Linked DNA regions of Stegostoma tigrinum. The protein of the gene in region 1 interacts with the protein of each later gene in a pairwise test. Links are inferred from orthologs where the notes say so. Each region holds a gene or a part of one and is shown on either strand. Other genes may lie near its edges.

Evidence for each region.
Region 2: the proteins of ankrd40 (region 1) and ahcy interact in binary tests that used the Homo sapiens proteins (3 or more experiments, as listed by UniProt). The two-hybrid records come from large-scale screens. The link is inferred for Stegostoma tigrinum from reciprocal best matches to the Homo sapiens genes ANKRD40 and AHCY.

Annotation. Positions count from the first base shown.
Region 1 is NC_081375.1:6,718,343-6,726,372, forward strand, and holds the start of ankrd40 (ankyrin repeat domain-containing protein 40), read right to left. Parts: upstream 3,145-8,030; 5' UTR 3,097-3,144; coding exon 2,966-3,096; intron 1-2,965.
Region 2 is NC_081372.1:144,405-152,445, reverse strand, and holds the start of ahcy (adenosylhomocysteinase), read right to left. Parts: upstream 3,157-8,041; 5' UTR 3,075-3,156; coding exon 2,940-3,074; intron 1-2,939. UniProt on the Homo sapiens protein: Catalyzes the hydrolysis of S-adenosyl-L-homocysteine to form adenosine and homocysteine. Binds copper ions.

The DNA.
Region 1 (8,030 bases):
AAGGTTATGGGGAGAAAGCAGGCTTAGGCTATTGAGTTGGACAATCAGCCATGATCGTGAAGAATGGCAAAGCAGACTCAAAGGGCTGAAAGGCCTCCTCCTCATCCTATCTTCTATGTATCTTGGCAAAGCAAACAAGGGCAGGACTTATACAGTTAATGGTAGGGTCCTGGGTGGTGCTGATAAGCAGAGTGACCTCTGCACTTGGGGGCATAGTTCTTTGGAAGTTGTATCACAGGCAGGCAGGGTGTTTAAGACATGTAGCACGCTTGCCTTCATTGCTCAGATCATTGAGTATAAGAGTTAGGATGTCATGTTGAGGTTATAGGAGACATTAGTGAGGCCACTTTGGACTCCTGTGTACAGTTCTGGTCGCCCTGTTATTGGAAGGATGTTATTAAATTGGAGGGGGTTCAGAGAAGATTTACCAAGTTATTGCCATGGCCAGAGGGTTTAAGTTATAAGGAGAGATTGGTTAGGCTGGGACTTTATCCACCAGATTAAGGCGTGACCTAATAACAATTTATAAAATCATGAAGGGCAACAATGGGGTGAATAGCAAAGGTCTTTTCCCGAGAGCCATGGGGTTCAAAACTAGGGGGCATATTTTTAAGGTGAGAGGAGAAAGATTTAAAAGGGACCTGGGGGGAAACATTTTCACACAGAGGGTCATTCATCTGTGGAATGAACTGCCAGAATTAGGAGCAGATGCAGGTGCACTTAGAATATTTACAAGACATTTGGACAGGTACATAAACAGGGAAGGTTTAGAGGGATATGGGGAACACACATGCAGGTGTGATTTAGTTTAGTTCAGGAACATTGGTCGGCATGGATGAGTTGGACTGAAGGGTCTGTTTCAATGCTGTATGACTTGACTCCATCTACACTTCCCGCTGCCTCAGGAAACCAGTCAATGGGACAAGCTGGGAATCTCTTTTGAGAGCTGGTACAGACATGAAGGGTCACATGGCCTCCATCTATACTGTAAAATTCCACGCATTTCCTTAAACAACCAGAAAAGTTAAAGGAAATGCAACAGAATAGATTTTGATGGAGACTTGTGTTATACTTAAAACAGAATGTAAGGTGAAACACTCGAACATGATCACAGCCATTTTCCCTGAAGTTTAAGCGTGACAGACTCTCGCTCTTGATGTTCTTCAAAACAAGTATGAAATTATTCACACATCAGAATTATAACATCATTAGGGGAGGTGATGGCCTACTGGTAATTATTGCTGGACTGTTAATCGAGAGACCCAGATAACATTCTGGGGATCATGGGTCCGAATCCGGCCACGGCAGATGGCAGAATTTGAATACAATAAATATCTGGAATTAAGAATCTAATGATGATGGTGAATCCATTGCCAATTGTTGGAAAACACTATCTGGTCCACTAATGTCCTTTACGGAAGGAATTTGCCATCCTTACCTGGCCAGACATATGTGACTCCAGACCCACAACAGTGTGGTGGAATTTTAACTGCCCTCTGGGCAATTAGGAATGGGCAATAAATGCTGCCAAGCCAGCGATGCCCTCATCCCTTAAACGAATAAAGAAAAAGAAACATAACGAAGGGATCCTGCAACGCAGGTTCCACTGCCTTCCAAAGAAAAAGAAACATAACGAAGGGATCCTGCAACGCAGGTTCCACTGCCTTCCATCATGCAGAAGATATGAAAGCTTAAAACCCTACCAACGTATACAAGAACAACTTCTTTCCCGCTGTTAGCGGACTTATGAATGGACCTCTCATATTAGAAGTTGATCTTCCTCTGCAGCTATAAGACTATATTCGTCATTCGATTAGCCTGACATACTTATTCAGGTATGATTTGTCTGGTTAGCATACAAAACCATACTATTTAACCATATCTCCATTTGCGTCACAAAAATAAATCAAACCAAATGAATGGTACGGCGCTCCCTCGGCGCTGACCCTCCGACAGTGCGGCGCTCCCTCGGCGCTGACCCTCCGACAGTGCCCACTCCCTCAGCACTGACCCTCCCACAGTGCCCACTCCCTCAGCACTGACCCTCCCACAGTGCCCACTCCCTCAGCACTGACCCTCCGACAGTGCCCACTCCCTCAGCACTGACCCTCCGACAGTGCCCACTCCCTCAGCACTGACCCTCCGACAGTGCCCACTCCCTCAGCACTGACCCTCCGACAGTGCCCACTCCCTCAGCACTGACCCTCCGACAGTGCGGCACTCCCTCAGCACTGACCCTCCGACAGTGCGGCACTCCCTCAGCACTGACCCTCCGACAGTGCGCCACTCCCTCAGCACTGACCCTCCGACAGTGCCCACTCCCTCAGCACTGACCCTCCGACAGTGCGGCACTCCCTCAGCACTGTCCCTCCGACAGTGCGGCGCTCCCTCAGCACTGACCCTCCGACAGTGCGGCACTCCCTCAGCACTGACCCTCCGACAGTGCGGCACTCCCTCAGCACTGACCCTCCGACAGTGCGGCACTCCCTCAGCACTGACCCTCCGACAGTGCGGCACTCCCTCAGCACTGACCCTCCGACAGTGAGGCGCTCCCTCAGCACCGACCCTCCGACAGCGCCCGCTCCCTCAGCACTGACCCTCCGACAGTGCGGCACTCCCTCAGCACTGACCCTCCGACAGTGCCCACTCCCTCAGCACTGACCCTCCGACAGTGCCCACTCCCTCAGCACTGACCCTCCGACAGTGAGGCGCTCCCTCAGCACCGACCCTCCGACAGTGCCCACTCCCTCAGCACTGACCCTCCGACAGTGCCCACTCCCTCAGCACTGACCCTCCGACAGTGCCCACTCCCTCAGTGCCCACTCCCTCAGCACTGACCCTCCGACAGTGAGGCGCTCCCTCAGCACCGACCCTCCGACAGCGCCCGCTCCCTCAGTACTGACCCTCCCCCCACGTAGGGGCGGGCTTCCCTGCCGTCCCGGCCCCCCCTTGCCCGGCTCCTCACCATCCGTTCACCGCGTTCTGCCCATTCACTCGGGCCCCGCGGCCCAGCACCTCCGAGACCAGCTCAGAATCCCCGAGACTCGCCGCCTCCCGAAGCCGCTCATCGAGCTCCAGGCTGGGATCGGCCGCCATGGCGCCGCAGGCCTCGTCCTATGACCCTTGACCCCACCCGCAAACCCGGGCACCGCCCCTTCACATCGTTCCGCCCCTGCCCCACAAACACCTCCCCCTGGTCCTATCGCCCCGCCCCTGCCCCACAAACACCTCCCCCTGGTCCTATCGCCCCGCCCCTGACCCACAAACACCTCCCCCTGGTCCTATCGCCCCGCCCCAGACACACAAACTCCTCCCCCTGCTCCTGTCGCCCCGCCCCTGCCCCACAAACACCTCCCCCTGCTCCTATCGCCCCGCCCCTGCCCCACAAACACCTCCCCCTGGTCCCATCGCCCCGCCCCTGCCCCACAAACACCTCCCCCTGGTCCTATCGCCCCGCCCCTGACCCACAAACACCTCCCCCGGTCCTATCGCCCCGCCCCAGACACACAAACACCTCCCCCTGCTCCTGTCGCCCCGCCCCTGCCCCACAAACACCTCCCCCTGCTCCTATCGCCCCGCCCCTGCCCCACAAACACCTCCCCCTGCTCCTATCGCCCCGCCCCAGACACACAAACCCCTCCCCCTGCTCCTATCGCCCCGCCCCTGACCCACAAACACCTCCCCTTGGTCCTATCACCCCGCCCCAGACAAACAAACTCCACCCCCTGCTCCTGTCGCCCCGCCCCTGCCCCACAAACACCTCCCACTGCTCCTATTGCCCCGCCCCTGACCCACAAACACCTCCCACTGCTCCTGTCACCCTGCCCCTGCCCCACAAAAACCTCCCACTGCTCCTATTGCCCCGCCCCTGCCCCACAAACACCTCCCACTGCTCCTATTGCCCCGCCCCTGACCCACAAACACCTCCCCCTGTTCCTGTCACCCCGCCCCTGACCCACAAACACCTCCCCCTGCTCCTCTCACCCTGCCCCTGCCCCACAAAAACCTCCCCCTGTCCTCTCCCCCCAACCCACAAACACCTCCCCCCGTCCTCTCCTCCCCCATGACACACAAACACCTCCCCCTGTCCTCTCCCCCCCACGACACACAAACACCTCCCCCTGTCCTCTCCACCCCCACGACACACAAACACCTCCCCCTGTCCTCTCCCCCCAACCCACAAACACCTCCCCCTGTCCTCTCCCCCCCACGACACACAAACACCTCCCCCTGTCCTCTCCCCCCGACCCACAAACACCTCCCCCGTCCTCTCCACCCCCCCACGACCCACAAACACCTCCCCCTGTCCTCTCCCCCCCCACGACACACAAACACCTCCCCCTGTCCTCTCCCCACCCCCAACACACAAACACCTCCCCCTGCTCCTATTGCTCCACTTCCAGTTCCAGAAGCCTCCCCCACTCAGCCTCAGGCCATGCGTGGTCACTCGTCTGGCTCTTCACATGTCCAAATTGGAGACTGTGCGATCTTGCTGTGTCGTTCCTCTTAGCTCTTGCATTAATTTCTATCTCATTAATGTAGACAACAAACTACAAGGTGCCCAGCTCCCATCCCTGAAAGTTCCCTGGACACAGACTTCCAGGCATAAAAACACCCTTCAACCAACACACTGTGCTCCTGAGATGCTGCTTGGCCTGCTGTGTTCATCCAGCTCCACACTTTGTTATCTTCAACCATCACACTCTGGTTCCCGCCACTCATTCAACTTTACATGCAATTTGTTTTCACTGGATCCAATGGGCTCTCAGCTTCTCAACCAGATTCCCGTGTGTGACCTTGTCAAAAGCCTTACTGAAGTCCATGAGAATTTTATTCAATGCACTATCGTCATCCATACATCTAGTCATAGCCTCAAAAGATTCAATTATATTTGTTCAACATGATCTCCCCTTTACAAAGCCATGCTGCTGACTATTCTTGATTAATACATGTCTCTTCAAGTTGGGGAGCAAGTTACTGCAGATCCATTCAAGTGGAAATTGATTCTTTCCCTCAGAATTTTTACCAATAATTTTGCTACTGCTGATGTCAGACTCGCTGGCCTATAGTTTTCCTGGTTTGTCCCTACCATCCTTCTTGAATAATGGAACCACATTATCTGTTTTGCAGTCTCCTGGCACCTGTCCTGTGTCGAGAGAGTATTTGAAATATAACGTTGAGCCTTTGCCTCCTACACAGCCTCAGATACATTTTGTCTGGGCCTGGAGATTTATCCTCTTTCAAGCCACTAAAGTTGTTCCTGCCTCTCTCTCTCTCAAAGCTAATTCAGTCAGGTGTATCACTGCTCCCTCCCTGATATCTATACCTACATCATTCTCCTCTACAGTGAATACTGAAGCAAAGCACTCATTTAAAACTTCACCTGCAACTTCCAACTCCTCCCACAGGTTGCTACTTTGGTCCCTAATGAACCCTACTGTTTCCCCGGTGATTTCCTTGCCCCGAAAATATTTTAAAAATTGGGATTTTCTTCAATGTTACCCACAGTGATTTTTCATGTCCCCTCTTTGCTCTCCTAACTTCTTTCTTAAGCATTCCCCACACTTTCTATACTCCAATAGGATATCTACTTGTTCTCGGCCATCTGTGTCTGATGTAAGCTTCCTTCATTTTCTTTGTCCATCCCTTGAGATCCAGGGTTCTCTGGACTAGTTGGTCCCACCCTTCACCTTTACAGGGAAATGTTACCCTACTCTCTCACCATTCTCCTTTTCAATGCCTCCCACTGCTCTGTTGGGGATCTCCCTGCAAGGTAAGCTGCTCCCAGTTTACTTTGGTCAGATTCTGTCTCATCTTATTAAAACCAGCTTTTGCTCATTTCAGACCCCTTATTTTGGATCCTTCCCTTAAATCTTGCTGAATTATGGTCACTATCACTGAAACATCCCTCCACTGCCTCATCTACCACTTGCCTTGCTTCATTCTCTAAAGTGAGGTCCAGCACTATTTCCTTTTCTGTAGGACTTCCCACATGCTGCGTTGCCTTTGACCGAGTGTTGCAGACTGACACATTCCAAGGTCCAGGATTCTGTCCTGAGGGACACACTAAAGCTTGGGGCAGCTGCTGCCAAGGCACAGTGGGGAAGGACCACTGTCTGAGGTCTTTCTGCTGAAGTTAAATGAGGACATTCAGTTATTGGACCATCCTGGTGCCTCAAATTACATGTGAATATAATCTTGTACAAATAAGAAATGCTTTTGGTTTGTTTGCTGGATAGGGTTAAACTTCAATGTTTGTTTGTTTCTTCATATGCTACTGTTCAGAACCAAACTGCTTCAGTAACTATGTATAAGTATAAAGATATTTTGTATATAAAGCGTATTTTTGAAATAAAGAACACATCCTAGGTGCTGTGTATAAATCTCTGTCCTGGACATATTTCAGGAATTCTGCTCCCACTGAGTCTTCTGCGCTTTCATTCAATCCCTACAATTATTACCCTGTTGTTTTTACACTTCTCTGAGATTTGCCTAAATGGCTTTCTTTCTATCTCCCTTGACTGTCTAGGAAGATATAGGGCAGCCTCAACAATGTCATTGCTTTTTTATCTTTTTAAGTTCTGGCTATATGGCCTCATTTGTGAAACCTTCTGAGGTATCATCCCTCCTTATTACAGTAATCCTTGATCAATGTTGTGACAGCACCTTCTTTCTTACTTCCCTTCCCCATTTCACTTAAAGATTCTATGTCTCAGAATATTGAGCTCAGGCCTGTCCCTCCTTCAACCTTATCCATGTGATAGCAATAATATCACATCCCATTTATTAATTAACACTGTCATCTGCCTTACAATGGCCTGATAGTGTTATTGCTGGTTTGTTAATGCAGAAACTCAGGTAATATTCTGAGGACCTGGGTTCAAATCCAGTCATTTGAATCAATAAGAATCTAATGATGTGCATGAGGTGGGTGGACGCTGGGAAGTTGTTTCCGTTAGGTGGGGAGACTAGGACCCGTGGGCACAGCCTTAGAATTAGAGGGGGTAAATTTAAAACCGAAATGAGGAGACATTTCTTCAGCCAGAGAGTGGTGGGCCTGTGGAATTCATTGCCACGGAGCGCAGTGGAGGCCAGGACGTTAGATGCCTTCAAGGCAGAGATAAACAAATTCTTGATCTCACAAGGAATCAAGGGCTACGGGGAGAGTGCAGGGAAGTGGAGTTGAAATGCCCATCAGCCATGATTTAAATGGTGGAGTGGACTCAATAGGCCGAACGGCCTTACTTCCACTCCTATGTCTATGGTCTTATGAGTTGATTGTTGGAAAAGCTCATCTGGTTCACTCATATTTTTCGGGGAAGGAAACTGCAGCTATCACCTGGTCTGGTCTAAACTTGACTCCTGATCCAAAGGAATGTGGTTGACTCCTAAATGCCCTCTGGGCAATTAGGGATGGACAATAATGCTGGCCTAGCCAGCGATACTCTCATCCTATGAATGAATGAACTACAAAAATATCACTCTTTACAAAATCTAAAATCTACAATCTGAACCTCTCCTTCTATCTCTGAAACTCTTTACAATCTATCCCTTTGAACTTGTTTGTGGACATTTGTTCCAAACATCTCTGATGTAGGTTCTGTATATCCGCCTGAAACCACTCCTGAGAAGTGCCTGGCATGTTTTGTCAGAATCACAGGATTTTTACGGTGCAGGAGGCCACTCAGCCCATTATTCCTGCAATGGCCTGTTCAAATCATGTTAAATGTGCTACATAAATATAAGTTGTTGCTGGTAAACATTCTTATTGCTCCCTTTTAGAATGGTAGTATTTATTGAGGTGCCCTACATCCGGGTTTTGGGCTGGGCTTGGGAACCTGAAACCCTCTGTGCTTCAAAGGGGTTTGACTCAGTGAATTGGATGCTTTGTTTCTATCCATTCATAGAATGAGGGCATCTCTGGCTAGGCTGGCATTGATTGCCCAACCTTAATTTCCCAGAGAGCAGTTAAGGGTCACCAATAAAGCTGTGAGTCCGGAGTCACATGTAGGCCAGATCAGGTAAGGATG
Region 2 (8,041 bases), on another chromosome or scaffold:
GTTAGTCTGACATCGGTGGTAGGGAAAATGTTGGAGTCAAATATTAAGGATGTAATAACTGAGCATTTGGAAAGCAGTGACAGAATTGGTCCAAGTCAGCATGGATTCACTAAGAGAAATCATGCTTGATAAATCTTCTGGAACTTTTTGAGGTTGTGACCAGTAGAGACGATAAGGGTGAAACAGTTGATAGCATATCTGGACCTTCACAAATCTTTTGACAAGGTTCCACACAAGGGATTAGTAAGGAAAATTGAAGCTCTTGATGTCTGAGGTAATGCATTTTTGATAGAGAATGGTTTGGCAGACAGTAAGCATTGAGTTGGAATAAAAAGGCCCTTTTCGGAGTGGCAGGCAGCGACAAGTGGGGTGCTGCAGGGTTCAGTGTTGGGAAGCCAGCTATTCACAGTATACATTAACAATTTGGACAAAAGAATTGAATGCAATATCTCAGTTTGCAAACAACACTTAGCTAGATGGCAGTGTGTGCTCAGTGTGCTAAGAGGCTGCAGGGTGATTTGGACAGACGAGCTGAGCGGACAAATATTTGGCAAATACAATATACTGTGGATAAATGTGAGGTTATCCACTTTGGTTGCAAAAACCAGAAGGCAGATTATTATCTGAACAGTGGCAGTTTAGGAAAAGGTGAGGTGTAACAAGATCCAGGTGATATGGTGGAATGGTCGCTGAACATCGCCATGCAGGCGCAGCAGGCAGCAAGGAAAGCTAATGTTACACTGGCCTTCGTTGCGAGGGGATGAGTGTATTGGAGTGAGGATGTCTTGTTGCAGTTGTACAGAGCCTTGGTGAGGCCACACCTTGAGTATTGGGTGCAGTTTTGGTCTCCTGGTCTGTGGAAGGACATTCTTGCTATTGAGGGAGTTCAGCAAAGGTTCACGAGACTGATTCCTGGAAAGGCAGGACTGACATATGAGGAAAGACTGGATTGACCAGGCTTGTACTCACTGGAATTTAGAAGAATGAGGGGGGGATCTCTGAGAAATATATAAAATCCTCACAGGGCTGGACAGGCTAGATGCGGGAAGAATGTTTCTCGATGTTGGGGAAGTACAAAGTTAAGGGTCACAATGTAAGAATAAGGGGTAAGCCATTCTGGACTGAGATGAGGAAGAACTTGTTCACTCAGAGTCGTGAATCTGTGCAGGTAAAGGGATCAAGATGTATGGAGAGAAAGTGGGACTGCAATACTGAGATCACACAAACAGTCAACCTCCTGCACCTATTTTCTACACTTCAGGTAAAAAGTACCCAACCACGGCTAACAGAAGAAATTAAAGATGGTATTTGTTTCAAAGAGGAGTCATATAAAGTTGCTAGAAAAAGTCATAACCTTGAGGATTGGGAGCAGTTTAGAATTCAGCAGAGGACGACCAAGGCGTTGATTCAGAGCGGGGGAAAGGAACATAAAAGTGGACTGTAATAGTTTCTATAAATATATAAACAGAAAATGTTTAGAAGTCTGAAACAGGAGAATTGAAAATGGAGAAGGAAAAAGGACAATAACTAAATTACTTCTGTTCTTTATTCACAGAAGAGGATACAATTTACTTCCCAGAAATATTCAAGGAAGCAAGGATCCATTAGGAAGGAGGAATTTAAACAAATTAGTATTATTGAGAAATGGAGAAATGAATCACAGTGAAAGCTGATACATGCCTGAGCCCTGATAATCTACACCGAAGGCAACTACAGGTGGTGTTCATGGAAATAGCAGATGTAATCTTTGCATTCTGGAGACCAGTTACTTCATCCTGGAGACCAGTTACTAGTGGTGTACTGCAAGGCTCAGTGTTGGGTCCACTGTTGTTTGTCAGTTTTACAAAAGACCTGGATGAGGGTGTAGAAGGATGAGTTAGTAAATTTGCAGATGACACTAAGGTTGGTGGAGTTGTGGATAATGATGAAGGATGCTGTAGGTTGCAGAGAGAAATAGATAAGCTGCAGAGCTGGGCTGAGAGGTGGCAAATGGAGTTTAATGCAGACAAGTGTGAGGTGATGCACTTTGGTAGGAGTAACCGGAAGGCAAAGTACAGGGCTAATGGTAAGATTCTTGGTAGTGTAGATGAGCAGAGGGATCTCGGTGTCCATGTACACAGTTCCTTGAAAGTTGCCACCCAGGTTGACAGGGCTGTTAAGGCGGCGTACAGTGTTTTAGCTTTTATTAATAGAGGGATTGAGTTCCGGAACGAAGAGGTTATGCTGCAGCTGTACAAAACTCTGGTGCATCCGCACTTGGGAGAATTGTGTACAGTTCTGGTCACTGCATTATAAGAAGGATGTGGAAGCTTTGGAAAGGGTGCAGAGGAGATTTACTAGGATGTTGCCTGGTATGGAGGGAAGGTCTTACGAGGAAAGGCTGAGGGACTTGAGGCTGTTTTCATTAGAGAGAAGAAGGTTGAGAGGTGACTTAATTGAAACATATAAAATAATCAGAGGGTTAGATAGGGTGGATAGGGAGAGCCTTTTTCCTAGGATGGCGACAGCGAGCAGGAGGGGGCATAGCTTTAAATTGAAGGGTGAAAGATATAGGACAAATGTCAGAGGTAGTTTCTTTACTCGGAGAGTAGTAAGGGAATGGAACGCTTTGCCTGCAATGGTAGTAGATTCGCCAACTTTAGGTACATTTAAGTCGTCATTGGACAAGCATATGGACATACATGGAATAGCGTAGGTTAGGTGGGCTTGAGATCGGTACGACAGGTCGGCACAACATCGAGGGCCGAAGGGCCTGTACTGTGCTGTAATGTTCTGTGTTCATTCTTAGAAATTTCCAAGGATCAGCTGATCAAAGTTCAGTAAAATGGAGGTGAGCTGTTCCCTGAGAGTTAATTTACATTCTAAACCAATGCAGAACTCAGCTGAGACACATTTTGTCAATTAAGACATTTTTGGCGTACAATTTATGCTGACATTACCTCTGCTCCAAGTGCAGTCAAGGTTTCAATTAATACAGCAGTTTGAAGAGTCATATGGAGGCAGCCTGCGATCCGGGCTCCTTTCAGCGGCTTAGAATCCGCATGCATCTTCCTCATCATCAATAAACCAGGCATCTCATTCTCTGCAATCTCAATGGCCTTACGACCCCATTCAGCCAACGTGATGTCAGCTGTAATGCAAAGAAACAAGATTCACACAGAATCAATATGTACAGGTAAGCTGGCAATCCAGAGAACCAACCTCATGCCAGGTTCAAATCATAAAGTGAGAGTTTGTGCAATTCAAAATTTACAATAAGACTTCTGGAAGTGAAAGCTCTTCTCAGTAAGAGTACCATGAAACCAACTGTCAAAAATTCCATCTGGTTCACAGATGATGTACAAAAGTACAAGAAAACTGGCAGCCTTACCTGGTCTAGCCTCCATATGGTTTCTGATCTATAGAAATACGGTTCACTCAAACAGTCAGCAAGTCACTCAGTTGTACAAAGCTGCTGCAGTGCAGTCAAATAATTAAAACAGATTGCATGATATTGACAGGGAAGCAAAACAACCAGACTAAGCTTTGCTTAGTTCCAACTCCTGTACTCGATGCCTCAACCGATGAAGGCCAATATGCCAATAGCCTTCTTCACCACCTTGCCGACCTGTGACATTACTTTCAATGTCCCTCTATCCCACAACACTCCTCAGGACCTTACCATTTACTGTACAAGTCCTATCTCGGTTTGACTTTCCAAAATGCAACACCTCACTTATCTGTATTGAACTGCATTTGCCAATCCTCAGCCCACTTCTCCATCTCATCAAGAGTTCTCTGTAAATTTTGATAACCTTCTTCGTTATCAACGATACCTCTTAATTTTATATCATCCACAAACTTGCTAATCATGCCTTGTACGTTCGCATCCAGATCACTTATGTAAATAACAAATAACAAAGGTCCCAGCACTGACACCTGTGGCATTCCGCTCGTCACGGGCCTCCAGTCCGAGAAACAGCCTTCAACCATCATTCTCTGCTTCCTACCATTGAGCCAATGTTGAATCCAATGAGAGACAGTAGGAACTGCTGATGCTGGAGAATCTGAGATAACAAGGTGTAGAGCTGGATGAACACAGCAGGCCAAGCAGCAGAGGAGCAGGAAGGCTGCCATTTCAGGCCTATTTTTTCTGAAGAAGGGTCTCGGCCCAAAACGTCAGCCTTCCCGCTCCTCTGATGCTGCTTGGCCTGCTGTGTTCATCCAGCTCTACACCTTGTTATCTTTGAATCCAATTAGCTAGCTTTCCCTGGATCCCACGTACCCTAACTTTCATGACTAGCCTGTATGCAGGTCCTTGCTAAAGGCCTTAATAAGGTCCACATTGACAACATCCACTGCCCTACCCTCAGCTACTCTCTTGATTACCTCTTCAAAAACACTCAAAGATTTATAAACATGACTTCCCATGAACAAATCCATGCTGACTCTCATCAGATCTTGATTATCCAAATGTTGGTTGATCCTCTCCCTCAGTATCCTCTTCAATAACATGCCAACCACAGATGTCAGACCCACTGGCCTGTAGTTCCCTGGCTTGTCTTTGCTACCTTTCTTAAACAATGGAAAAACATTAATCACATTCCAGTCTTCCAGAACTTCTTCAGTGACTAAAGATGAAGCAAAAACCATTGCAAGAGCCTCTGCAATTTCTTCTCTAGCATCCCACAATGTGAGGATGGACTTGATCAGGCCCAGCGGATTTATCCACTTTAATGCGCTTTAAGGCTGCAAACACCACCTCTCCGTTAATGTGTATTAATCTGAAACATCCGCACTAGTTTCCTTTATTTCCTTAGCATCCATGATTCTCTCCTCAGTAAACAATGAGGACAAATAGTCATGAAAAATCTCTCCCATCTCCAGTGACTCCACATAAACAGCTATGCTGATCTTTAAGGGGACCTATTCTCTCTCGAGCCAACCTTTGACTCTTATTCTAAAAAAAATCTATAAAACCTCTTGGGATCATTTTTAACCTTATCTGCTAGGTCAATCTCATAACCTCTTCTGATTTCCCTCTTCAGTGCGCTCCTACACATTTTATAGTCATCCAGGGATTCACTTGAGCCCAACGGCTTAAACCTAATATATGCCTCCTTTTTCAAAGAACGGAGAAAATTACAGCACAGGAACAGGCCCTTCAGCCCTCCAAGGCTGCGCTGATCGAATCCTCTGTCTAACCTGTCATCTATTTTCTAACGGTCTGGGTCCATTTGCTCCCCGCCCATCCATGCACCTGTCCAAATATATCTTAAAAGACGCTAACATGTCTGCGTCAACTACCTCTGCTGGCAACACGTTCCATGCACCCACCACCCTCTGTGTAAAGAACTTTCCATGCACATCTCCTTTAAACTTTCGTCCTCTCACTTTGAACTCATGGCCCCTAATAATTGAGTCCCCCACTCTGGGGGGGAAAAAGCTTCCTGCTATCCACCCTGTCTATACCCCTCATGACTTTGTAGACCTCAATCAGGTCCCCCCTCAATCTCCGTCTTTCTAATGAAAATAATCCTAATCTACTCAACCTCTCTTCATAGTTAGCACCCTCCATACCAGGCAACATCCTGGTGAACCTCCTCTGCACCCTCTCCAAAGCATCCACATCCTTTTGGTAATGTGACAACCAGAACTGGACACAGTACTCCAAATGTGGCCGAACCAAAGTCCTATACAACTGCAACATGACCAGCCAAATCTTGTACTCAACACCCCGTCCAATGAAGGAAAGCATGCCGTATGCCTTCTTGACCACCCTATTGACCTGCGTTGTCACCTTCAGGGAACATTGGACCTGAACACCCAGATCTCTGTTCATCAATTTTCCCTAGGACTTTTCCATTTACTGTAAAGTTCGCCCTTGAATTTGATCTTCCAAAATGCATCACCTCGCATTTGCCCGGATTGAACTCCATCTGCCATTTATCTGCCCAACTCTCCAGTCTATCTATATTCTGCTGTAATCTCTGACAGTCCCCTTCACTATCTGCTACTCCACCAACCTTACTGTCATCTGCAAATCTGATCAGACCACCTACACCTTCTTCCAGATCATTTACATATACCACAACAACAGTGGTCCCAGCACAGATCCCTGTGGAACACCACTGGTCACAGGTCTGAGAAATTTGAGAAACTCCCTTCTACTACTACTGTCTCCTGTTGCCTAGCCAGTTTTGTATCCATCTAGCTACCACACCCTGGACACCATGCGACTTCACTTTCTCCATCAGCCTGCCATGGGGAACCTTATCAAATGCCTTACTGAAGTCCATGTAGATGACATCTACAGCCTTTCCATCATCAATCAACTTTGTCACGTCCTCAACAAATTCTATTAAGTAGTTAAGGTATGACCTTCCCTGCACAAAACCATATTGCCTATCACTCATAAGCACATTTTCTTCCAAATGGGAATAGATCCTATCCCTCAGTATCTTCTCCAGTAGCTTCCCTAACACTGATGTCAGGCTCACTGGTCGATAATTACCTGGATTATCCTTGCTACCCTTCTTAAACAAGGGGACAACATTAGCAAGTCTCCAGTCCTCCAGGACCTCACCCGTGTTTAAGGATGCTGCAAAGATATCTGTTAGGGCCCCAGCTATTTCCTCTCTCGTGTCCCTCAGTAACCTGGGATAGATCCCATCCGGACCTGGAGACTGGTCCACCTTAATGCCTTTTAAGATACCCAACACTTTCTCCCGCCTTATGCCGACTTGACCTCGAGTGCTCAAACACCTATCCCTAACCTCAACATCTGTCATGTCCCTCTCCTTGGTGAATACCGATGCAAAGTACTCATTAAGAATGTCACCCAATTTCTCTGACTCAGCGCATAACTTTCCTTCTTTGTCCTTAAGTGGGCCAATCCTTTCTCTCGTTACCCTCTTGCGCTTTATATATGAATAAAAGGCTTTGTGATTTTCCTTAACCACGTTTACTAGCAATATCTCATGTCCTCTCTTAGCCCTCTTAATTCCTCGTTTCAGATTCGCTCTACATTCCTGATATTCTTACAAAGCTTCGTCGGTCTTCAGTCGCCTAGACGTCATGTATGCTTCCTTTTTCCTCTTGACTAGTCTCAATTTCACCTGTCATCCATGGTTCCTTAATCTTGCCATTTCTATTCCTCATTTTCACAGGAACACATCTCTCCAGCACGCTAATCAACCTCTCCTTAAAAGCCTCCCACATATCAAATGTGGATTTACCTACAAACAGTTAAACAGTTTCCTGGCCAGAGCCTCAATATCCCTCATCAGCCAGAGATCCCTAAACCTGCAGCTTTGCTCTTCACCCTAACAAGGGCATCCTATCCCTGGGCTTTTGATATCACACTTCCCAGTCACTCCTTTTCCTTCAAACAGACTTACCCAATCGACCTCTGCTAGATCCCATCTGACAGCCCCAAAATTGGCCCTGCTCCAGTTTAGCACCTTAACCTGTGGACCTGTCCTATCTTTTTCCATAACAACGCTAAAACTAAGAGTGCTATGGCCACTGGGCCCAAAGTGCTCTCTGACTGATACTTCAGTCATTTGCCCGACCTGGTTTCCTTAAGAGGAGGTCCAGTGTTGCACCCTCCTGAGTAAGGTCCTCTACATATCGATTTTGGAAACTTACTTGGTCACATTTGACAAATTTCACCCCATTTGGACCTTTTACACTCTAGACGGTCCAGTCAATGCAGAGGAAATTAAAATCTCCAACCAACACTACTCTGTTATTCCAACAGGTATCTACAATCTCACTACACATTGGCTCCTCTAGGCTATTTGGGGGCCGATAATGCAATTCCAAGAGTGACTATCTCCTTCTTGTTTCTAAATTCTAACCATATGGCCTCATTTGTAACACCTTAAGAATATCCTCCCTAAGCACTGTAATGTCCTCCCTTTTCAAAACAGTAACTCCCCCTCCTTGCTTACTTGTACTTATGTCCCGCCTGTTGCTTCTGCAAACTGGAACAATTAGCTGCCAGTCCTGCCCTTCTCTCAGACATGTTTCTGTTATGGCTATAATATCCCAGTACCCA